Styela clava: one gene and its partner. Each later gene encodes a partner of the first gene's protein in a complex. Links are inferred from orthologs where the notes say so. Each region holds a gene or a part of one and is shown on either strand. Other genes may lie near its edges.

Region 1 (10,631 bases):
AGAAATTTTATTGTCTTGAGGCAGGGAATATTTGTGTGGTATTTCTAATATTCTTGACTTTAGTATTAATGTAATACATATTATGGCACATTGGTGTCCCAGTATGAATGAAACCCATTAATTCAATTACCAATTATGTTGGTTTCAATTATATTTAAATTATATAAAGAGCAGAGTGCATGTCGAATGTATCACTAGATAACTATCCAATATATATCAGAAACCAGAGTTTTCATACATATCGAGACAGAGGAATGAAAAGTTTCAAAATAACGAATGTAGCAAAAAACTGAAAATCTATAATAATACAGACAATATTGATTATATTCTCGAACACTAAGAAGCAATCGACATAGTTTAGCTGGCATTTCAAAATCTTAATCCTGCAAAACAACATCAGCAAACGATAGTTTTGCCAACTTTTAAATTGTCTTTAAAGACAAACCTCACCAGGCACACAGAGAACCAGTAAAGAGCAAATGTTTGTTTACTTCAGCCAATATTTTAATTGTCTATGTAGAAGGGCCTACCGTAATCAGAGAGGAGAGTTACAAACTAGGTTTTAGATGTTTACAGAAACAGCACACGCAGAGCAGGGCTACTCAACTAGCGTTCCCAATCCGGACTTTCCGCGTATTTGATTTGGACCGCAACTAATTCTTTATTTTGGATCAACATTCCCACTTTTGAATTTTCCTTTTATAATATCCCTTTTATAGATTTAAAAATATACGAAAAGAACTATAACGCCATAAAAAACGATCTTGATTAGCTAATTATCATAAGTCGGCCGAGAAAGTGCATGTTCAAGGATGCCCAAATATAATTTCTGAAAAGACCGGACCCAAATATTTTTCAAGTTTTGTATGCGGATCTTCGGTAAAAATAGTTGAGTAGCTCTGATGCAGAGCAGGGGTGTGCAACCTTTTTCATGAGCGGGCCAAATACAAGTAACCGGGTGAAGCCGTGGGCCGCACCTTTTAGAAGTTGCAAGCACAAAAATTGCTTATTTTTACTAATGTTCTTACGGCACTATTAGGCTTTCTTGCAAAAATGGTGAGTTAAAACGCATGGGCGTCTGTTATTTTGAGAAACTGTTATTTAAATTTAAACCACTTCAGTGAGGAACACATTTTTGTAATATAAATCTTCCATTTTGCTAGCAGAATATACCGGATTATCCGAACTTAATACTCGTTACGCGAGCATACAATTCAAAAACTGTTTTTTCATCGCGGGCCGCACAATTTTTTTTTTCGGGCCGCAGTGTGCACACCCCTGATACAGAGGGGCAAACAATATATTGCAGTCAATGTTTAAATTGTCTACTTGAAAGGGCCTAATTAGTATAGAGATTGAAATAACGCACACACAACTTTTAGTTGCAAACTAAGTTTTTCCAATTTTTCAAATATCCCAAAACAGCACAGACCTGGTATGGTGCAAATGGTTCAGTTGGCAATGTTTCAAAAGAAAATAGAATATTTAATTTCCTACGGATGATTAGTATAGCAGCTGGAATTAAATTTCTCACAGACTGGAAATATCCTACTCTATTGGGTCAAAAAAATTTACACTGATTGTAGCACACTGAGAGGCGACACCAGACTTTCAGAGAATCGATGTAATTCCAAATCCCCAAAAAATATTAAATTTAGCAATAATTCAACATATTTTTCTAAAAATTAGAAAAATCATTCAATCTGGATTTAATTTACATTTTTAAATCTCCAAAACAGAGCAAAGTTAGAGACGCTAGACTAGTGAGAACTATTAAGTAGCCGATAGAAACCCAAATTCCTTAAAAAACTACCCAGTAGTACTGCTATAGCAATGTGAAACTAGTAAAACAACAAAATTTCGCTATCTTTCATGAAAACAAGATGAGCTAGCATGGGCTAATAAAAAAGGGAGATTATATGCTAGAGGGCAGTGGAGATGCAAAAAGAAACTAAACACGAGGGGTGATAGAGAGTTTTTCTAGTGGGAGAGAAACATAGGAGGGCAGTAGAGGGTTTTTTCCCAGTGGGAGAACACAAAATTTTGCAGAGACCAAACATAAGAAGGCAGTAGAGAGTTCTTTCAGTGGGGGCAAAGAACACAAAATGCTGCCGAAACTATAAACAAGGAGGCAGTAGAGAGATTTTTCACCAGTGGGGCGGAAGAACACAAAATGCTACCGAAACTATACACAAGCAGGCAGTAGAGAGTATTTTTTCCAGTGGGGTGAAATAACACAAAATACTGCCGAGACTATACACAAAGAGGCACAAGAGAGTATTTCCGGTGGGAGTAATGACCATAAAATTCTGCCGAGTTTATTGCCATCAAAGAAAGGCTGAGAGTGGCAACACTTCGACCATACATAAGATTGAGTATATTTTTTTTCAAAAGGTGGGAGGGGGATTTTTTTAAATTAATCATCCTCTTCCTCTGGTAAAGGTGCATTGGCAGCCTGAGCAAGTTCCGCGTCCCATTTTTTAATCATTTCTTGATCTACGCTGACCTCTGGTGGTTGCAGAGCAGGCATTTCCGCAAATTCGAGGTTGGCGTCTCCGCATAATTTTCGTGCCAACCAAAGAAACGGTTTTTCAAAATTGTAATTGGACTTGGCCGAAACATCATAGTACTGCAAATTCTTTTTTCGATGGAAAACGATTGCCTTTGCTTTCACTTTGCGATCTTTAATGTCGACCTGAGTAAAAATAAATGGAAAAAGATCAGCTCGGCGGTAATCTAGTGCTGAGAGTTAGAAATACGCTCGCACCTCTGATTACCCTGCATGGATTCGGCACTACAAAACCTGTGAGAGAGAATTACATGCGAGAGGATTGCTCGACACCTCACTGTCTTGAGGTAGTTCATGTAACATCAGGTCAGCTACGGCTTACTTCATCATCAAGTTCAAACTATGATTAGATATTAGCTTGAAGGCACCTATTACTTCTTTTTAATTTTTTAAACGAGTTTTTTTTCAAATTTCAACATCCGTATTTTTGTCTTGACACCATTAAAATGTATTAGAACTAAAATAGGAAAATTGGAATAAAATTATGACCTAACCTGGTACACGTACTACGTTCCAGTGTCCGCCATCTTGGTTCACATACTTCGGCGGGAGTACCCAAAAAAATATTGGCATAATGGGGCACTAGGCGAATTTCAAATCCTTAGGCGTACTTTTCTTTCCAAAAATTTGCCTAATGTATCATTCAGGTAGAACTCCATGCTTTATTACCTACACTAAAATACCAACAGCGATATTGCATCAAAAACCGTTGCACCTTATAGCCTAATGTGCCCTGGGTATGGATAAAAACCCGATCAAAGCAGTGCAGTAATAAAAATCAAGTGGCCTACCTTATTTCCAACCATCACGATGGGAATATTCTCACAAACTCGAACCAGATCGCGATGCCAGTTAGGTACGTTCTTGTACGTAATACGGGACGTCACGTCAAACATAATAATCGCACATTGACCCTGTCAATCGAGAAAATAAAGTTATGAACTGTAAAAAGACTTTTAAACAAAAAATTCGTTAAACATGCAAAAACCATCCCAAACTTGAAAAAAACTCATAAAAACAGGCCAAAACCATTAAATACCCCCTGAAAACTGACATTCCGTTTTATTCAATTCAATTTTATTCTCCCTAATAGTATTTGCCATCCTGGGTTCCTTGCATTGGAAAACCTCACAATTTTGACATAGGCTTGATAACAAAATATTTTGTGAGTGCAAGCCTTCTTTGATAAACTGTTAATTAAGAGTATAAGACGCTTTAAAAGATCCATTTTATTTTGAATTCATCACTATCAAATGTCTGAAATCCCGACACATACTCCGAGAATTCAGAATTTTAACGCACAACTCTGGGTTTGAAAAGTTTGAAAATACTACTCCAGCCAGAATGCGCCCAACTCATCTCCTGACTCAACAATCCCAGACAAATCAAATCAGCCCCCCCCCCAAAAAAAATGCCAGAAATAGTTTAAATAACTCCATCTACACCTTTATTGACCCGTTTCTCTCTGGGCCAACTTTTAAGCTCCCAAGTCTTTTCCCACTTTGCATAAAAATTTGCATTTCTTATTCTTGATTTACGTTTGGTTTGCAATGCGTGCAACTCAAACTCTGGCTTTTGTTAACGAAATATAAGTTAATGTATGCATATTCATATTCATTACAATAATACTAAATACTATATAAAACCCCTAAAAACGGCCCCGAAATGGTCAATTTCTAAAAATATGCATATAAGCCGACCCTACAAATCACACAAGTGATCAAGTTCAAGCATGGTTCGAATTGGATTAGGTTAATGTCATTTCGTTTGATTGAGTGCGATCAGAGTTATGCGCGTATGAGCTGACCACTTACAAAAAGTAACTTTTTTTTTGAGTTTCATGTTAAGTATAAATATAAATGATACCACACGTAGGGTTGCCAGTTCTGGATACACTTTTTTTCGAATCGAATCGAATCTGATTCCATTAAGCTTTTTTTTTTCTTATTGCACGCCTATGTTTGCTCAATTGGTGTTATTTGGAGTGCCGCATAAACGCATTCGGCAAATTTAAATGCCGCCGAAAACAAAGATAAACAAACATTCAATCTTTTTATTTTTCGGTAAATCGCTCTCTGTTACCAAGTCGCGTAAATCTGATTCGCAAAAGATGCGATTCGAATCGATCCATAAATCCAAAAGTGGCATGCATCCCTAAGTCAACACGCAAGTACAAAGTAAAATTCCCTTCCCAAAAACTTCAAAACCGACCCCCCGCGGGAAGAAATTTTTCTCGGGTTCAGAAACTTTAACTTACTCTAATATAATATCCGTCTCTCAAGCCTCCAAATTTTTCTTGTCCAGCTGTGTCCCAGACATCAAAAATAATTTTTCCACGATTTGTATGAAAACTTAACGGATGGACTTCTACTCCGAGGGTTGCCACATATTTCTTTTCAAACTCTCCAGTAAGATGTCGCTTGACGAACGTTGTCTTGCCTAAAAAAAATTTTTTCAATAAATTATTTAACATATGGAAATTCACAACAATAAAAAAAATTGCAATTTATAGTGGGAAATTGAACCCCTACCCATTACCAAAGAAGGCAAAACAAATAAAACACCCATTACCAAAGAAGGCAAAACAAATAAAACCTAATACACACAGAACACATTTTAAAATAATATTTTTGAATCTTGGGCGCTCCTGTAGTATGTGCACCAAGATGGCAGACACCGGAACGTAGTATGTGTACCAGGTTAGGGTTAGGCCATAATTCTTTTCCAATTTTAGTTTTATTACGAGTTTGGGAAGTTCCGTAGTATTTGTACCTGAAATTATGGCCTAACCCTAACCTGGTACACATACTACATTCCGGTGTCCGCCATCTTGGTTCCCATACTACGGGAACGGGAGTACCGAATATTGACTGTATTCTATGTGGAATGTGGCATACACACGTTTCGGCCCATGAGGCTGAAGATATGACATCAACAAAGCGAGAGGCCCGATCGCTGTGAATAAATATTCCGCTATAGTAAAAATGTACTTTTTGCTTTCTTTAGTTTCGCTTTACTGCTGAATTACCCGGCGTCCAATCCATATACGTTTTCTACCGTATTTACACGTTAAAAATCAAGCCCGAGTTGTTTTGTTTGCATTGAAATTTTTAAGTTTGCCTCTACTTTCGTTGAGTAAAATTACAAATAATTTAACATATATTAATAACGAAATGCTTCATTCCCATTAAAAAAATATACAATCACTGCATCAAGCCTCGCGCATTGTTGACAAACGTATCACTGCACTCGGGCCAGGTCATTAAATTACCGGTAGTTCATATTCAACAATTCCATTGTTATTTTTTTGGTTTGGCTGTAAGCTTCCTCACTTAGACAATGATTTTCCAAATAAAGACTATTCCTAAAATCAAGAAAGATTCCAATCTTTCCACATATCCTCAGATATCGAGGGGAAGTGGTGACTCCTCTATGGCCAATGGGCCGGGGCCCAGCCCATCGAATAAGTTGTGTAAAAGGACTATTCACTTGGCTAACACAGACAGTCCCCGAACTCAAAATAGAACTATAATGTGAAAAACTTGAACGAAAATTTGTCCCAACCTTAACCTGGTACACATACTACTGGACTATTTTGTTAAGACAATTGATATATACTGATGATGCCGCGGCCCATAGCTTGATGGGCCACGGCCCACGTGGCCCAATTAGATGGGCCGTGGCCCCGGCCCATGGGCTGTAGAGGAGTCACTGTCCCTGTAGTAGATATCAGTGGCTCCCTGCCTGTAGAGGGCCGTGTTCATAGCAATAGACATGAAAGAGCATCATGAAAAGCTTTTCAATTGTTCATGCCAAGACATTCTGAGCCTTGAAGAATATAAGGAACTTAACTTCTCCCATGAAATCCGTAACAGTCAAAAATCATTTTTTCCTGATCTTTCAACTTTGAAATGTATTTGATATCTGCGCAAACACGACAGCCTCCACAGCAGCTGAAGCGACCGGTCCCCTAAAACTGCATTTGCGCGAGTTCTATTTTTCAGGGAATAATAGTCAGCCTAAAAATATTCAAAATGTAAGAAACTTTTTTTTTATCTACCTATATGACTTACCTACACCTCCATCACCAACAAGTACCAATTTGAAACGAGGGATGTCGCTGTCTGCTTGTTGCTGTGCCATATTTTATGTTTTCCCAAACAAATTCTACCGTAATTGCCAAATTAACTAAGCAAAATATCTAATTTCTAAAGAAGAAATATAAATTTGTGATCAGAAAACTGGTCAATATACAGTATAGCATGATTCTCCGATTCTATATTAAAAGACATCAATTATAACAGCGAGTGCAACCTCCCTCCTTTATGTGAGAGTAAACGCAATTTAGGTCACTTGGCGTCTGCACTCGTTGCGATTACTTAAGATTATTATTGAGACAAGCATGGTGCGAACTAATGCACCTGCTGCATGCCAGATGTTTCAGAGACATATTGAGTGTTTTATTGAACCAAACGTTGGGACATTTTGGAATCTGCAAACTGTGCCCTACTGAGATATCCAAAGCGAATAGAATATTTGTATCAGGATTATGGTGTCTGGAAATTTACTTCCAGACAGTACGACACACTATCCAAATTCCGAGAATTTCCCTTCATTTGGTTCGATAAAACAAACACTCTATGTGTCTCACAAACAAGGAGCGTCTGGCACAAAGGTAGATGCATCATATCGCGCCATAGCTAAATTAATGTGGCCATCACATGACCAAAATTGCCGTTTTTTTCTAAAATCTCTCAAATGCCATGAAAGAAAAATTTCCTTCGTTAAATCGGATTATTTTTTCCCGAGGACTTCAATGATGACGTATTTAGATTGCGCTTCTTTGTAGTATTTTGCGCAACTTCGTTATACTGTATTTTCACCGATATTGAGGGACAACAATGTCCAGACGTCTCCCAAAGGGGAGGGGTGTCTGATCACCGGTAAAATGGGTTTCTCTGAAACAAGACAATGTCGCTCAATCTGTATAGTGTGCCGTACTGCCAGACAGTGGGTTAAGAAAAGATTTGACAGCCTGTAAAAAATTTGAAATCAACTCCGAAATCCTAGAAAATTGAGATTTGAAGACAAAAACTGCACAGAGCGCTTGGCAAACTTTGTTCTTAGTTTTCTGTTGGAAATGCAGCCATTTTCCATCTACATTGAAAGTCGGTAATAGAGACTTGGACTTTCAAATTTGAGAAATTAGGAAGTCTGCTCAGTCTCGAGTACATCAGACTTCACGGCCCTGACTTGAAGAAAATGAACATTCTAAGGATAGCTCCACATTAAAAGGCAATAAATATAACAGTGAGTGCAAGCCCCTCCAGTCTTCAAGTGCAGTTTTAAGCATTTCTCGGCGTCTGGAGCTGCCGCAAACCATAGCGGTATTTCCAAACCACGGCCACTATGGCCAAACTCACGGCGACCAACTGCCACAAACCAATGGCGAGCTGCCGTTACCGCGGCTGCAAATTGAAAACCACGGCAGGTCGGCCGTTAGTTATATACACCTGAATGGTTAGGACAAGGCTGCCCTGATGGTGACTTATATTGCGTAAGTTGGAACATTTTTTATAGATACAGTTTAGATGTATTTGGGGTTTAGGTTTCAGGTTTAAGTAGATATATTTTCGCATGATAAACGTAAATCTGGTACATGACTTTGTGAATATACCGATAATACTGTGATAGCGCCATAAACCATGGCAAGAGTCGTCGCGGTTCGTTCGTGGCAGGAGCTGTCAAGAAGTGGTAAGAACTGCGACTCCCAGTCTGGATGTCCATAATCAGCTTAAAGCGACAAATTGGCACTGTGCAATAAACTAAAAGCAAGGGCAATCTAAAAACATCACCATTGGATTTCAGTACAGCAGTAGGGCATACTTTTCAAATTCTAGAAATGTCCCAAACACTCCTGTGTCTCACAAACGAGAGTTGTCTGGCACAACGCCAGATGCGTCATATCGCACCATGCTTGTCGCGATAATAATCTAAATTAATCGCGGCCATCATGTGATCAAAATTGCCATTTTTTTATAAAAACTCTCGAATGCCACGGTAAAAAATTTTTTCCTTCGATAAATCGAATTCGATGATGACGTGTTTGGATCACGCTTCTTTGTAGTCTATTGCCTAACTTCATTTTACTGTATTTTTGCCGATATTGCTGTATTGAGGGTCAACAATGTCCAGATGTCCCCAAAAAGGAAGGCTGGAAGGAGTTCATTGGCAAAATGGGATTCTTTGAAAACGAGACAATGTCTCTCGATCCTAAAGTGTGCATACTGGATTTATTACTGTATTAGCTCACTTTCTAAACTGTTTCTTGTAGTCCAGTAGTCTATTCTGTTTCCAAGTCCAATACAGATCCGTCTTCAGCATACAGGCATAACAAATGTAACAGGTCATAAAAATGAATCACCTAAGATTGGGATGATTTGTTTATAGAACAATATAAAGAGAGAAATGTGTGGCAATAGCATAACTTATCCTAATGCTGTAATGTCTGAGTGTCCCGATCCGATATGACTAAACCTGTAAACAGAAATGTCAGATTGTGGAGGGGCAAATATGATATCCTACTACTGTCTGACTGCACGGTACCTAAGCTTTATAAAATATGCAAACAAACTTTATCATCATAAGACTGAATATAGGAGGTAGCGGCAGTTGGCAAAAAAAATAATAGTAAATTAATCAAATCCAGCCGCGGATGTCCTGAATACGCGAAATCAAACGCAAAAGTAAGCGGACCTGAAACGATTTGGCGCCAAAATATTCCCATAATTGACATGGACTGGTAAATCTATAAAAACCCGTATATTTTAAGCCGTCACATCGTATTTATCTCCCCCCTCCACAAATACAAAACATCTTTTTCTAAATGAAAATAAAATTTCGAAATCTCACCTCCAGAAACTAACAACCGTCCAGATCGAGACGAGACCGTCCTTTCGCGCCGATGACGTCACAGCACGTGGTTTAGTTTTGAAAATTTTCCATTGCCTCGTTTGTTTACTCAAGCATATCGCTCGTTTCTGAGTTCATTCGTGAGATTATGTAAGTGTTATTTGCTAGGATACAACATCGGTAATCATTGCTCTTGTACCGTAGCAATAAAATGTTAATATAAGATTGAAAATTGGCTTTTTATCCTTGAATAACGTAATTTGTATTTTTTACTGGATAAAAAAATAAACTTGAACATGAATGGAAATACTCAATTCTGGTACTAAAGCGGTAAAATCTAAAACTAGTTTGAATAGGATACAATTGTCCTATTTAACCAGGGAAAGCCAACAAGGCGCCTTAATCACAGTTTCCCCGATCTGAAATTAATCTCACACAATTTACGAGGGAAATGATAAGTACTGTACACACTTTTATTGGGGAAGGGAACCCGCGGAGATGCAAAGCTGTCTATCGAGCGGCGACGCTCAAGATTCTATTATCTAATTTGACAACGACTTTACGATAATCTGCCCGTTTCCTCAGATTATCCCTAGCGGTAAAAGTTTTATAGATACTGTACTGCCCTCCAATTGCCTCACCCCCAATTATTCAGTATGTCCTATTTGATTCAGTTTATCTTAGGCTAGGTTATTGTTCCGCGCGGCGGTGTGGCTCAACGGGCTAAGCGTTAGGAATACGCTCGCCACCGCACCTCTAATTACTCTGCGTGGGTTCGCAGGTTCGAATCCCATGCAGGGATGGTTATGTGCGAGAGGATTGCTGGACTCCTCGCCGTCGTTGGGTGGTTCACGTAACCGCTGGTCGGTTACGGCTTCCTCCACCACCAAGTCCATGCTTCCGAAAAAAAAAAACAATACAGTAAAACTAATCCCATACCCGACTTGGAATGGTAACCGGACGAGAGGCCGTGGTTCGCCATATGGATAAGCCGTCTTATCGGCTTTCCTCTCCCCCGGGATAAATATGTAAATCCTATCCTAAATCCTATCCTTTCCTATTTAACTAAACCAAAGAAACAGAATCAAACAAAACGAAAATAAATTTATTGAGCGGTAACAGGATGGCACCGGTTTATATCTTTAGTACT
Region 2 (10,631 bases), about 21 Mb from region 1:
AGTAGAAAGCTTCTGGATCCGCAACAACATTACTTTCGGGTTTTGGTGGAACATATTCCTCTTCGTCTTTACCCTGTAAAAACAATCAACATATCTCTCATCCATAAGAACAATTTTATTCTAAAAACACTGACTAGATCTCAAACAGAATTTACCTGCCCGGACGCTTGCTTGGTTGAGCCTCCTGAACCGACCATGGATGAACTAAATGAAAATCCCGGAAATGCAGTTGTTTTTGAAACATTAAATCCTTTGAAAGGTGAAGAAGTTGTTGTGGAAGTTTGAAATCCCGAGAATAATGGTTTACTGACTGGAGCATCAGTTTTAGAGTTAATTTCAATTGGTTTTGGCTCTTCTGTTTTGCTACCAAACCCAGTCAGAGAAAACTTTGGTTTGTCAGAAACGCTTGAAGTTAGAGAAGAATTTTGAGAAGACTTTAGAGAAACTGTCTCTTGTGAATCTGATACTTGGAATGAATTTTGCCTGGAAGAAATATAGTTCAATCAATAATTACTGCAGGGTATTTTTCGTACAAAAGACATAATCAATGTGATTGTATTAAATAAATGTGGAATAATAGTGCATTGAACTATTTTTTCAATCGATTAAGTCCATCTCCAAATAATGGCAAGAAATTTTATGAGATTTTAACTATTGAACAGACCGAGATCACAAAAACTTTTACCAATTTGTTTTTGCTGTAATTTATAAACAATGTTCGAAATTTAATGTAACATACTTAAAACCGTAAAGCATTTCTTATTAATTCAGCAAAGAATAGCATAAGCCATAAAGGGTACATTACTTACGATGAACCTTCATTGTCTGAATGTCCATACTTGTCATCTATTTCAGATAAATATTTTTTATAATCCAGAAAAATAGGAGTGAGATCGCACAATGGATTCTTTTCCACATGATTCTGAAATTAATAATAGGTTACCAAAAACTTCTCGAAACAAACTATTTTCACATTTATGAATCAATTGGAACTGAGTGGCTCATAATGGATCAGATCAACAAAATTTTATAAAATAGACATTGATTCGTTACTGACTAAATTGTACAACTAAATTTTCTATTCTAGCATTCAAATAAAAATTGCTCCTAACAAAATATATTTTGCGATTGATAGGATACCTTTATCCATTCACTAACACTTCGATTCAAAGCACTGAGCTGCCTGTTGTATTCTCTTGAGTTTTGTGTTGTATCATCATCACTCGACTTTATTTCAATAGTTTTTGAAGTTGTACTATCCGCGGCTAAAGTCAAAATTAAGCTCAGATAAAATGAAAACATTGTTATAATACCACTGAAAAATATTAAAAAGGCATTAAACTTGGGACCTTTGAATAAGAATTAGTTTCAAATCGTGCTAGCCCAGATATGTTTGAAGTCACAGGCTGAAGATTTCGAGTTTAAACTCCAAGTGCACATCTAAAGTGTAATATATTAAGTAAAGTCAGACAGTATACCAAACTAAATATCATAATCCTCATGAAACAGTAGCTTCTACATGGTTGTGACTTGTGAATGCTGGTTTATAGCCTTGTTCACAGTTTGGGTGCTGAATATTCAGTAAAAAAAATATTTACTTTTGGATTCTAACGTCCTAGTAGATGATTTATCCCCTGATGAAGATTGAATAGTTGGCTGAGTTGCAGCTGATCCACTGGATCCAGTAGATTGAAACATTGAAAACGGTTTCATTTGAGAAACATTGCTTCCATTTCCAGAAGTTGGTAGATTGAAACCACCGAACGAAGGTTTGGTACTATTTGTTGGGGCTTTCAATCCACCAAAACCAGAAAATGCCGAGGCTGTCTGAAATAAATCCAATTTGACAAATCTTATTCAGACATAATAAGAATATAGTAAAATCTATGCTCTACCTGACTATAAAACATATTAAAAAGAAATCGATAAAATAGAGAGAGATATAATAATTATGTATGCGTGAAATAATTAAACACTTTTAGGTGACCACGGACCACTTCCAAATTTAAATACTGTATAAGACTATCAGTGTATGCTTTAAATCAGAGGAGTGCAATATCCAGCCCGTCGAACATGTTTGGCACGTTAAAGACTTTATTATCCATTATTATTATTTTAGGAAGCTTTATTTATAGGAATTTGAAAAATTATCCATACAAAAAGTAATCTCGATGCCACTTTGATATATCATCTCACTTGCTTAATGTGATCTCAATCGTATACCAAAGTGGCAATAATTGTGGTGGCACTTCGGCATGCGTTTTATCTCATTAAGATATTCTCATCGAATTCGATTTCTAACCCTAACTAAAATCACACTACTAAGATCGCATACCAAAGTAGCACGGAAATCTTTTTTTTGCTAATGTTAGCTCAACTTCAAGTTGCTAGAAACTAATAGGTTGTTCGATGGTCTGGCCCTCAAGTGTCGCCAAATTTTTTTGTTTTGACCCATTGCGATAAACCTTACTTTAGTTTTTGTCAGTTTGCATGCTCACCTGTAATCAATTTTTATTTATACAGTTAGAGACTAAGTTTTTATAAATTATTTTATTGTCTGATTATGAAGTCATCTTGCCGTCTTGATTATGAAGTCGAAATAAGCTTAACAATACTTAGGGTGGAGATCAAAAAGGTAGTTTAACCTCGAATCAGAGTTTAACTTTGGATCGGCGGTTTAGGTCCGGATCAAAAAGGTGGTTTAACTTTCTGTGACGTAAATCTCGACTTAAAATCGGCGATTTTTTAAACCTGGTCTGGAGGTGGTTTAACTCGGTTTGTCCAGTGCATTTGGATTGCGGCGTTTGTCGTGTTGGATGTTATCGCTTACCGTACAATCTATATTGTATTCTGGGGCGACAAAAGGAGTAGCAGGGAGCTCTGTACAAGCGTCACGACGAATAAATAATTGTATACCTGTACCACGAGGCTGCGATATGTAGCATTCGCGGTGGTACCTGTGCTGTACCTAGTACCTACCGTACTACGCCCGAACAAAATTATTTACAACGTGGAATGGGGCTATACTATAATAAATCTAGTAAGGTAAATACATACCCAGCGTATTGATACATTTCTGTAGGCTATTTGCGTTTTTTAATTTTCTTAGCAGTTTTTGTGAAGATTTATTTTAACTTAGATTGTAGACTACAGTTATACCAGTAGCCTATTGCTATATGGGTTCTTGTCATAAACAGACATAGGGCCCAGTATTTTAGTACAGTTTCGTTGATAAGCAGTTGCGCAGTGGTACCGTCGAACAGATACTCCTAGTCCTAATACAGTAATATAAACTTCAAAATGTTTTAACAAAAATGATATATTTTCAGATATTTAGATCTACCAGTGCCCAAAAGATTCCTTTTAATTATATTTTGTGTATGAGCAGAACTAAGATTTACCTACGATATCCATGTATCACTACTGCACTGTGCCCCGGTGTATGTATCTTGTCATCGGCTAATTCACAAGTCTGCAAGTTCCCGAAGTAGATAGCAGAAGGTTGACTGGATATTTTGATGTACACCAATGTAAAATCATATTGCATGTTATTGGTATGCTGTTTGCACAGATGTACGATATTTATGGTATTAATGATTCTGACTCTTGCTATATAAAATGAAACTAGAATATTGAAGTACCGTGACCATGAATTTCACCAAATGCTAGATTGCAGAAATGAGTATATTGATAACTATATATTGCCAATAACTTATCATGAATGCAAAGGTTCATGCTATCATAACATTTCTTTAATGTAACATTGTTTTCTGATTTTTCATTTATTTCTACAGCTGTTTCAAATCAAGTAAACTGTCTGAGTGCCATGATGATGATCAATTTCATCAGCTCTATTGGTAGAGCAAATTTGTGAGTTTGTCACTATTTAAATGTCATATTATTTGTATGTAAACTGTCCTAAATTCACGTTCGTATCAGCTTCTTTAGTATCAGCTGTTAAATGAAAATTATTTTTAGTTTGTGTGTATAATCTGTATTATTCGTATAATGTGAGGATGGTGACCGTACATTTGAACCCATGTACATTTGAACCCATGCGTCTATCCACGGGTTCAATCTATATGCGGGTGCTAAAACCCATGGGTTAGGGTTAGTATGGGTTTAACTATCCGTGAAACAAAAAAAATTCCATAGGTGCAATAGCATACAGGTGCAATTGTCATGGGTTCAAATGTACGTGGGTTCAAATGTAATGGAACCTGTGAGGATACTTTCATCAAGGTAAATTTCTTATTGGTATTGTCCCAGATATGTTCAAGTAACCGAGATGTGACAAACTTTTCAAAATCATTCCCATTAGTCATTTCTTGTTACATGCAGGCAAAACTAGTGTCACATGATTTTAGAGTAGAGCAAAGTTGTTCGACATGCAATCACAATCGAAGACAAAAGAGCCTTCATTTAATATCTGAAAACTAAAAATACTCTACTGTTTTACTTTTCCAAATTCATATAATTAAATATACATTGGATTTTATGTAATTCAAAAATATCATTTCAGAATACAAAAAAATCTGTACAAATTCGAATACAAATTATTCGGTTTTAGTCATTGCCTAGGTCGAATTTGGTTCTTTAATATCTAGCGCACTTCATCAATATACTATCTTTAACCCTGTATTTTCATTTATACTGTTCAGGTCATGAAGACAAACAACTGTTATGGATAGGATTATAGTAAAAGTGTTGTCAAGTCAAGATTGCAGCAGTGCTTTATTTTACGACTTCGTGTCCAACAAATATGTGGAACCCGCCTTTGTGTCCAACAAATATGTGGAACCCGGTTAACTTAAGCTTAACAAACAAATTATTCTTGCATGCTAAAACATTTGAAGCAAAAGTAATTATGTCGATTTTTCGTCACTTGGCGAGTCTTTCGCAGAAGAAATAAATAAAACTTTTAAATAGCAACGAAAGCAACAACTATGATTGCACCTGTGTCTGTGTGCATCTGTCTCAAAGCTGTAGAGCCAGGATAAAATTTAGCACCTCTTCCGAATTGATTCTATACTTTTTCCATTTCTTGAATGTCAGTACATTTTAGCAGTCATTTGAACAAATGAATATTAGTTATTTTTGCAATACAAATTTTCAAAATAATATTATGTTAAATATGTAGAAGCCTGTGGCCCAGAACTTGCCAGGGATAGGTTTTCAGCTGAAGTGTGTTCATTTCGTCTGTTTTCACTCTAAGTAGGATGTGGGTTCTATAATTGAAGTCTGTTTGTTGTTACGCTGAGGTTTAGGAGAAAATGTTAGATTCAATTGGTGTTGTAGACCAGGGTCGTCCAACTCGTGGCCATCGGGCCATATGTAGAAGCATTTCTAGGTGTTTGCAAAAATAGCCTGTCAAGACAGACCATAACTCGTCTTGTTGAAGAGCTTGGGAATTCTATCGCGAGAATTTTAATCGCAAAAGCGGGATATTTTTTATTGTATTCCTTGGCGCTTGAGGAAGCGCTGACATTAAGTTTACTGCTCAGTTGGTGACTTGCTATCTTTTTGCGGGTAGTTAATGATGATATAAAATTACCGTGGAGACCGCAGCCATTGCCCCTGTTAAGGGTTTGACTAGAAGCATTGATTTGTTCGACAGCTGTGATAAAAATGATTAAGCGTCTTGTCTTTGGCTAAACTTTCGGGAATAACCACTGATGATGACCCGTCAATGTTTGGAAAACAACAGTTTTATTGTTCTAATAATTGTGAAAAATCGATGTGAGGGTATTTTTTTATTATTAACCTGTAGTAGTGTAGCAAAACTAGATCATAACTAACATGTCAATTGGCCCGCGCAATTATTAATGAATTACATGTGGCCCTTAGACCAAAATGGTTAGCCGACCCTGTTGTAGTTGTAGACTGTACCAGTAGTGGGAAGAATTCTATTTATGATAAAGTGTTATTATTTCGATATTTCGTGTGATGCGCGTCAGCTCTTCGTAGTTCTACCGCCCAGATTGTTTTGCTTCGGCAATATCAACGAAATACATCAAAAACCGACTTTGCAAAGACAGCAAATTACAACAAAATTGGGTTCGCGTTGTCATCGCCATGGGAATACGGGGTCAAAGAGCAACATGCCACGACGTTTTAATGAAATGCCTCGTGGCGTCGGACTTAAACCACGATTAGTTAAGTAACCGCTAAACTAGGTTTTTGATCACCGGTTAACTATCGAAGTTAAACCGAGTTTAACTAACCCGAGATTAGTCTTAATCCAAGTTTAAGTTAAGTGAGGTTTTTGATCTCCACCCTTAAACTAGGCTATAATAGAGTAAAATGATAAAATTAGTCTACTGAATTATTATGTTATCCTGGTTTAGCATAACTATACAACACAACACCATTTAGTAATTATTCTGTTATTTGCAACACTCACCGATTGTTGACTGCTACCAACAATCCTACGCTTTGCTTTTCGAATAACACGGGTTTGCAAAACATCATTATCCGCTGTCTTGAATGTTCCAGAGTTATCGTCATCATCAACCTCATCTTCCTTGTCCCAATTTTGGTCTGTTAAGTATTTATCAGCGACACGCTTCGACATCGTGGCGCTAGACCTAGTTCACTCATTCACGAATCGCAGAATTGAGCAAGTAACGTGCAAGTGACCAAAATAACCCTGCTGAGGAACGAAATACTGTATCTTCAATAAGGCACATATATGAGGCACATCTGGCTTCTAGTGGAGGCATATGCCACGAGAATATCGAGGCATCTAAAAAAGTTCGAAATCACTATCGGGACAATAAAAGAATAAATTCATTTTATATTTTGTAAGTCTTAGTTTCATATAACGTTAGGCCTATTTGTAAATATTAGAGTAGGATAAAGTAAATATATAGTTTAAATTAAAAGTAACACTACCTGTGAATGCGTGGTTGAGGAATGATTCTTCAAAATTCTTGCCACAAAATAACTTCGGGACGCGTTTATTGTAATAATAAATTTAAATATAAATAGAAAAAAATCGGCATTGATTGAAGAAAATTTGTATTGTGATAAATGAAAAATTTAATTTTTCAACAAAACTATATCTTTGTAATGTTAGCAATAAACTAAAGCCTTCAATTCGTATTTTTACCGACTGTGGTTCTGTGCATTCACATGGCATTCGTTCTGCTTCCAAAGGAGCGTTTTTCAATCCTCGAATAAACTCAAATTTAGCTCAATATTTAATCAGAATCATTGGGCTCAAAATTTGAAATGATATTCCTGACATTTTCAAAACCTTCTCTTATAAAAAATTTAAATCTGAGTTCATGAAACAAATCATATCCAAATATTAATTATGAAGGCAAATCTATTTTCAAATGGATACTGGTGTGGATATGTCATGTATAAGAGTGTATTTATACCTGGTTCTCCCCAGTTTGAAAATATTTGTGCCATGTACATGTCCAACCGTATACTCTTTAATCTACCAATATTTTCATTTTTATCAAAATTTTAAAACCTACATCTCTAAATTGTGTAGAATATCGTATTATAATATACAGTATTGTAAAAATATATTCACAGTTTTCTTCCTTGCCAAACCATGATTAGACATTTCATAATATTGCACGCTTAATTTTTACGCATGGTACCGCTTACATTTACATGGTGGATGTTTTATCTATGACTTCCCTGGTGTGTAACGTTATCTATGACTTAACTGGGATGTGCGTATGATTGCAACCTAACAATTGTACTGCCCAAGTAAACACTAGTTTACTAAATTTTGCTTCAAATTTCAAAACAGATCCGGCCCGTGGAGTAATAATAATCCAGCCCTCGACGCTTCACTGAATTTAAGTAACAAAACGGCTGTTATGACGGTTATATTTTTTACGTAACAGAATTTATTGTGAGACACGTGTAGGCTAAACTAAATTATATTATACCCTAACAAGTATATATTCCACAAAACCTCGTTTAATGAGCTTATAGACGAATGGCAACAAAACGCAAAGTTGATGCTAAGTGCAAAGGGTTCAATGGCGCTGAAAATATTCGAATGAAATTTTTTCGGATGCAATGCAATGATGAAATCAATCTATATTCAATTCGAGAAATGTATTCCTTCTTGATTTCATTTTTTATCGTGAAAAGTATCATTCGTTCGTTTTTTCAACTTTCTGAAAATAGCGAGCGCGCGACAAAAGGTTGCCGACCCCTGCCAGGGTGGTCGCTAGAAAAGCAGGAAATTTGAAGGTCAGATGAGATTACGAATAAAATGCGTGCTAACTCATTACGTATCGATTTTAATAGGTAAGTATGTTGATAGGTATTTGTTTGTCTGTATGTCTGTCTGTTAGATGCACGCGATATCTCACAAAAGCGAGATTGAATCTGCACCAGATTTTGCATGTGCATTCATCATATGTCGTACCAGAAGCCTATTGATTTTGGATGAATTATGTCGTATAATTTGCGAGTTATTAATTAATTAGTGATGGGACGCAAGGCGTCACTATGAAGTAAGAGCGCTGTTTTGGGGGTACCCTAACTTTCGATCGATAAGTCTTCGGTCTCTGACCGATATTCTCGTTTCTTTTTCGATACGTTTTTATTTATTTCAGGTTGATGAATGTTACCCCGAGCATCATTTCTTGTTTATTTCCGTAACAATTACAAATCAGCAATAAGTTTGTTATGTTTGAATAGAAATGATAGATTTGAACATGTGAGCGAGTTTGTGAGCGCCAACTCTCCAAACCACTCGCAAAATCAGAGCTGAATATTTGGCAATAACAACGTGAATATAGGGAGAATCTTCCAGGGGTGAAGGAAACATCCATACTGGTCAGGTTTTATTCGATTTCTATTTTGAAACCCATATTGTGGAGGAAGGCAGGAAAGAGCTTTCAGACTTTGAAAGGAAAGTGGTTATTCTTTTCAATAGTGAAAATCCGACTTTCATACATATTTCGAATGGTCATCGAAAACTTTTAATTCTCGTATTTTATTCTTATTTATTATGTGCTTTCTGGTTTGACGAAAAAATATTGACGAAATTATCTATAAATTAAAAATAAATTCTCTCTCCTCCTTTTCGCAACTATCACACGCAGAAAACACATTATGGAGGGTATTTGTCATCATAAAAACAAGTGTACAGGACAGTGTCACGGCAAATAACATAATACAATATTCCGTCTTTCTGCGATGTTAACACGATATTTGCTACTTTATTGTTGTATGTATGTCAATATTATTGTATGTTATTAGTTTATCCGAAACTTCAATGAACAATTGTTAGCTGCTATAAAGCCCGTCTTATTCAACACTATAAGCATAAGGGATAAGATTAATATTCAATGCCATTCCGGCTTCAATAAAATGATGAAATTGACTCAGGTAAATAATAAGGGCGAACTCTCGAAAAGTATATCAGGTGACGGCACATTTGCACCCATGTAAATTTATTTACTCACGTAAATCGCACCTGTATACTTTTGTACCCACCAAAATTTGCACTCATAGATATTTCCACCTTGAAAATTGGCACATACGCACATCTGATCCCATACTGCATACGGTTCTGTTGCCCGGGGAAAGTTTCTGATAACGATGCCACCTATTCGTATATTATCTGATATGCCTATATCTTCTGCTTTGGCTATTTCATGAGATAGTTGTGGTTTGGAATCGCAAAAATCTTGTCACCTGATCATCACAACGCTAACTTTAACTGGCCAAGCCTCCATGTATAGATTACACGGGTATAGATTACATGTATACAGGAGCAGAAGTAGTAAATGGAAGAATGTTCTAAAAATTGTAACCCGAATACGGTTAAGCACATTAAGTATATTACATGCGTGTCATGTATCGTATATAATATATCGTATCGAAATCGAACATTAAAGCTGGGCCTTTCGTTCTTACTCAGAAGTGAAGCAGACTCATCTCTTTCAGGCGACCACTGAAATGCTAACAGATACTGAAACTTTGATACCGTAGAATTATGGTGATAAAACAAAGTTTTACAGAAACATTTTAGACGGTCCATGAGCTTTACGTGAAACACAAAATAGCAAATCGGAATTAGTCTAGAACTTGCTAAGACAACAGATCGAAGGTAGCCGCATACCAGACTACATGGGAAGGCATGATGTTTTATATAAAAGCAAATATTATATTTCTTTTCCAATCGAGATCAATGGAACTTTACGCACACATGGCAAGTAAAATGCAGTCACCGAATGCTGCCTGAATCACACCAAATGTTTAAGATCTTGGAACATAAGGACTTAAAAAATATATATGTTACAATTCATTGGTATTGAACCAGTCCACAAGTTGTATATTTCATTAATTTTGTATTTTACTTTCAACGTATTTTTCGCTATGGTGGACCAGTCGTACTAAAATTTCCAATGTTAATCCTTCTTATTTTGACAACGAACTTTTAGATTTTAACGCAATCTGGATTAAACACATGTTGGTGTAATTGATGCCTCAATTAGGAGAATTTAAGTTTGTGTCAGGTGAAGAAATTTGGAGATAGTATTGGTAAGTAAGCGATGCGGAAGGGCAAATAGATTTGAAAAAGTTGAAAAAAAAAACGATCGTCGCGGATTAGTTTGAAAAATTTAAGAGATAAGTGATTTATTTTC

Evidence for each region.
Region 2: the proteins of GTP-binding nuclear protein Ran-like (region 1) and nuclear pore complex protein Nup50-like are in contact, whole or in part, in a crystal structure (PDB 7MO0), measured with the Homo sapiens proteins. The link is inferred for Styela clava from reciprocal best matches to the Homo sapiens genes RAN and NUP50. Residues at the interface, in NP_006316.1 of Homo sapiens: Arg29, His30, Thr32, Gly33, Glu34, Phe35, Glu36, Phe52, Val124, Asp125, Ile126, Lys127, Ser153, Asn154, Tyr155, Phe157, Glu158, Phe176, Ala178, Pro180, Ala181, Leu182, Ala183, Pro184, Glu186, Val187, Asp190, Pro191, Ala194, Tyr197; in NP_009103.2 of Homo sapiens: Pro344, Pro345, Lys346, Val347, Val352, Lys362, Cys363, Lys364, Phe366, Tyr367, Lys368, Asn371, Glu372, Phe373, Lys374, Glu375, Lys376, Gly377, Ile378, Lys384, Lys390, Gln392, Leu394, Arg396, Thr399, Asn400, Leu401, Asn403, Ile404, Leu405.

Annotation. Positions count from the first base shown.
Region 1 is NC_135252.1:24,000,723-24,011,353, forward strand, and holds GTP-binding nuclear protein Ran-like, read right to left. Parts: upstream 6,778-10,631; 5' UTR 6,713-6,777; coding exon 6,643-6,712; intron 5,009-6,642; coding exon 4,827-5,008; intron 3,484-4,826; coding exon 3,361-3,483; intron 2,696-3,360; coding exon 2,417-2,695; 3' UTR 1,843-2,416; downstream 1-1,842. UniProt on the Homo sapiens protein: GTPase involved in nucleocytoplasmic transport, participating both to the import and the export from the nucleus of proteins and RNAs. Switches between a cytoplasmic GDP- and a nuclear GTP-bound state by nucleotide exchange and GTP hydrolysis.
Region 2 is NC_135252.1:2,759,692-2,770,322, forward strand, and holds the start of nuclear pore complex protein Nup50-like, read right to left. Parts: upstream 6,677-10,631; 5' UTR 6,575-6,676; coding exon 6,404-6,574; intron 5,122-6,403; exon of another isoform or gene 4,662-5,121; intron 3,871-4,661; exon of another isoform or gene 2,262-3,870; intron 1,828-2,261; coding exon 1,599-1,827; intron 1,266-1,598; coding exon 1,141-1,265; intron 923-1,140; coding exon 810-922; intron 484-809; coding exon 156-483; intron 74-155; coding exon 1-73. UniProt on the Homo sapiens protein: Component of the nuclear pore complex that has a direct role in nuclear protein import. Actively displaces NLSs from importin-alpha, and facilitates disassembly of the importin-alpha:beta-cargo complex and importin recycling.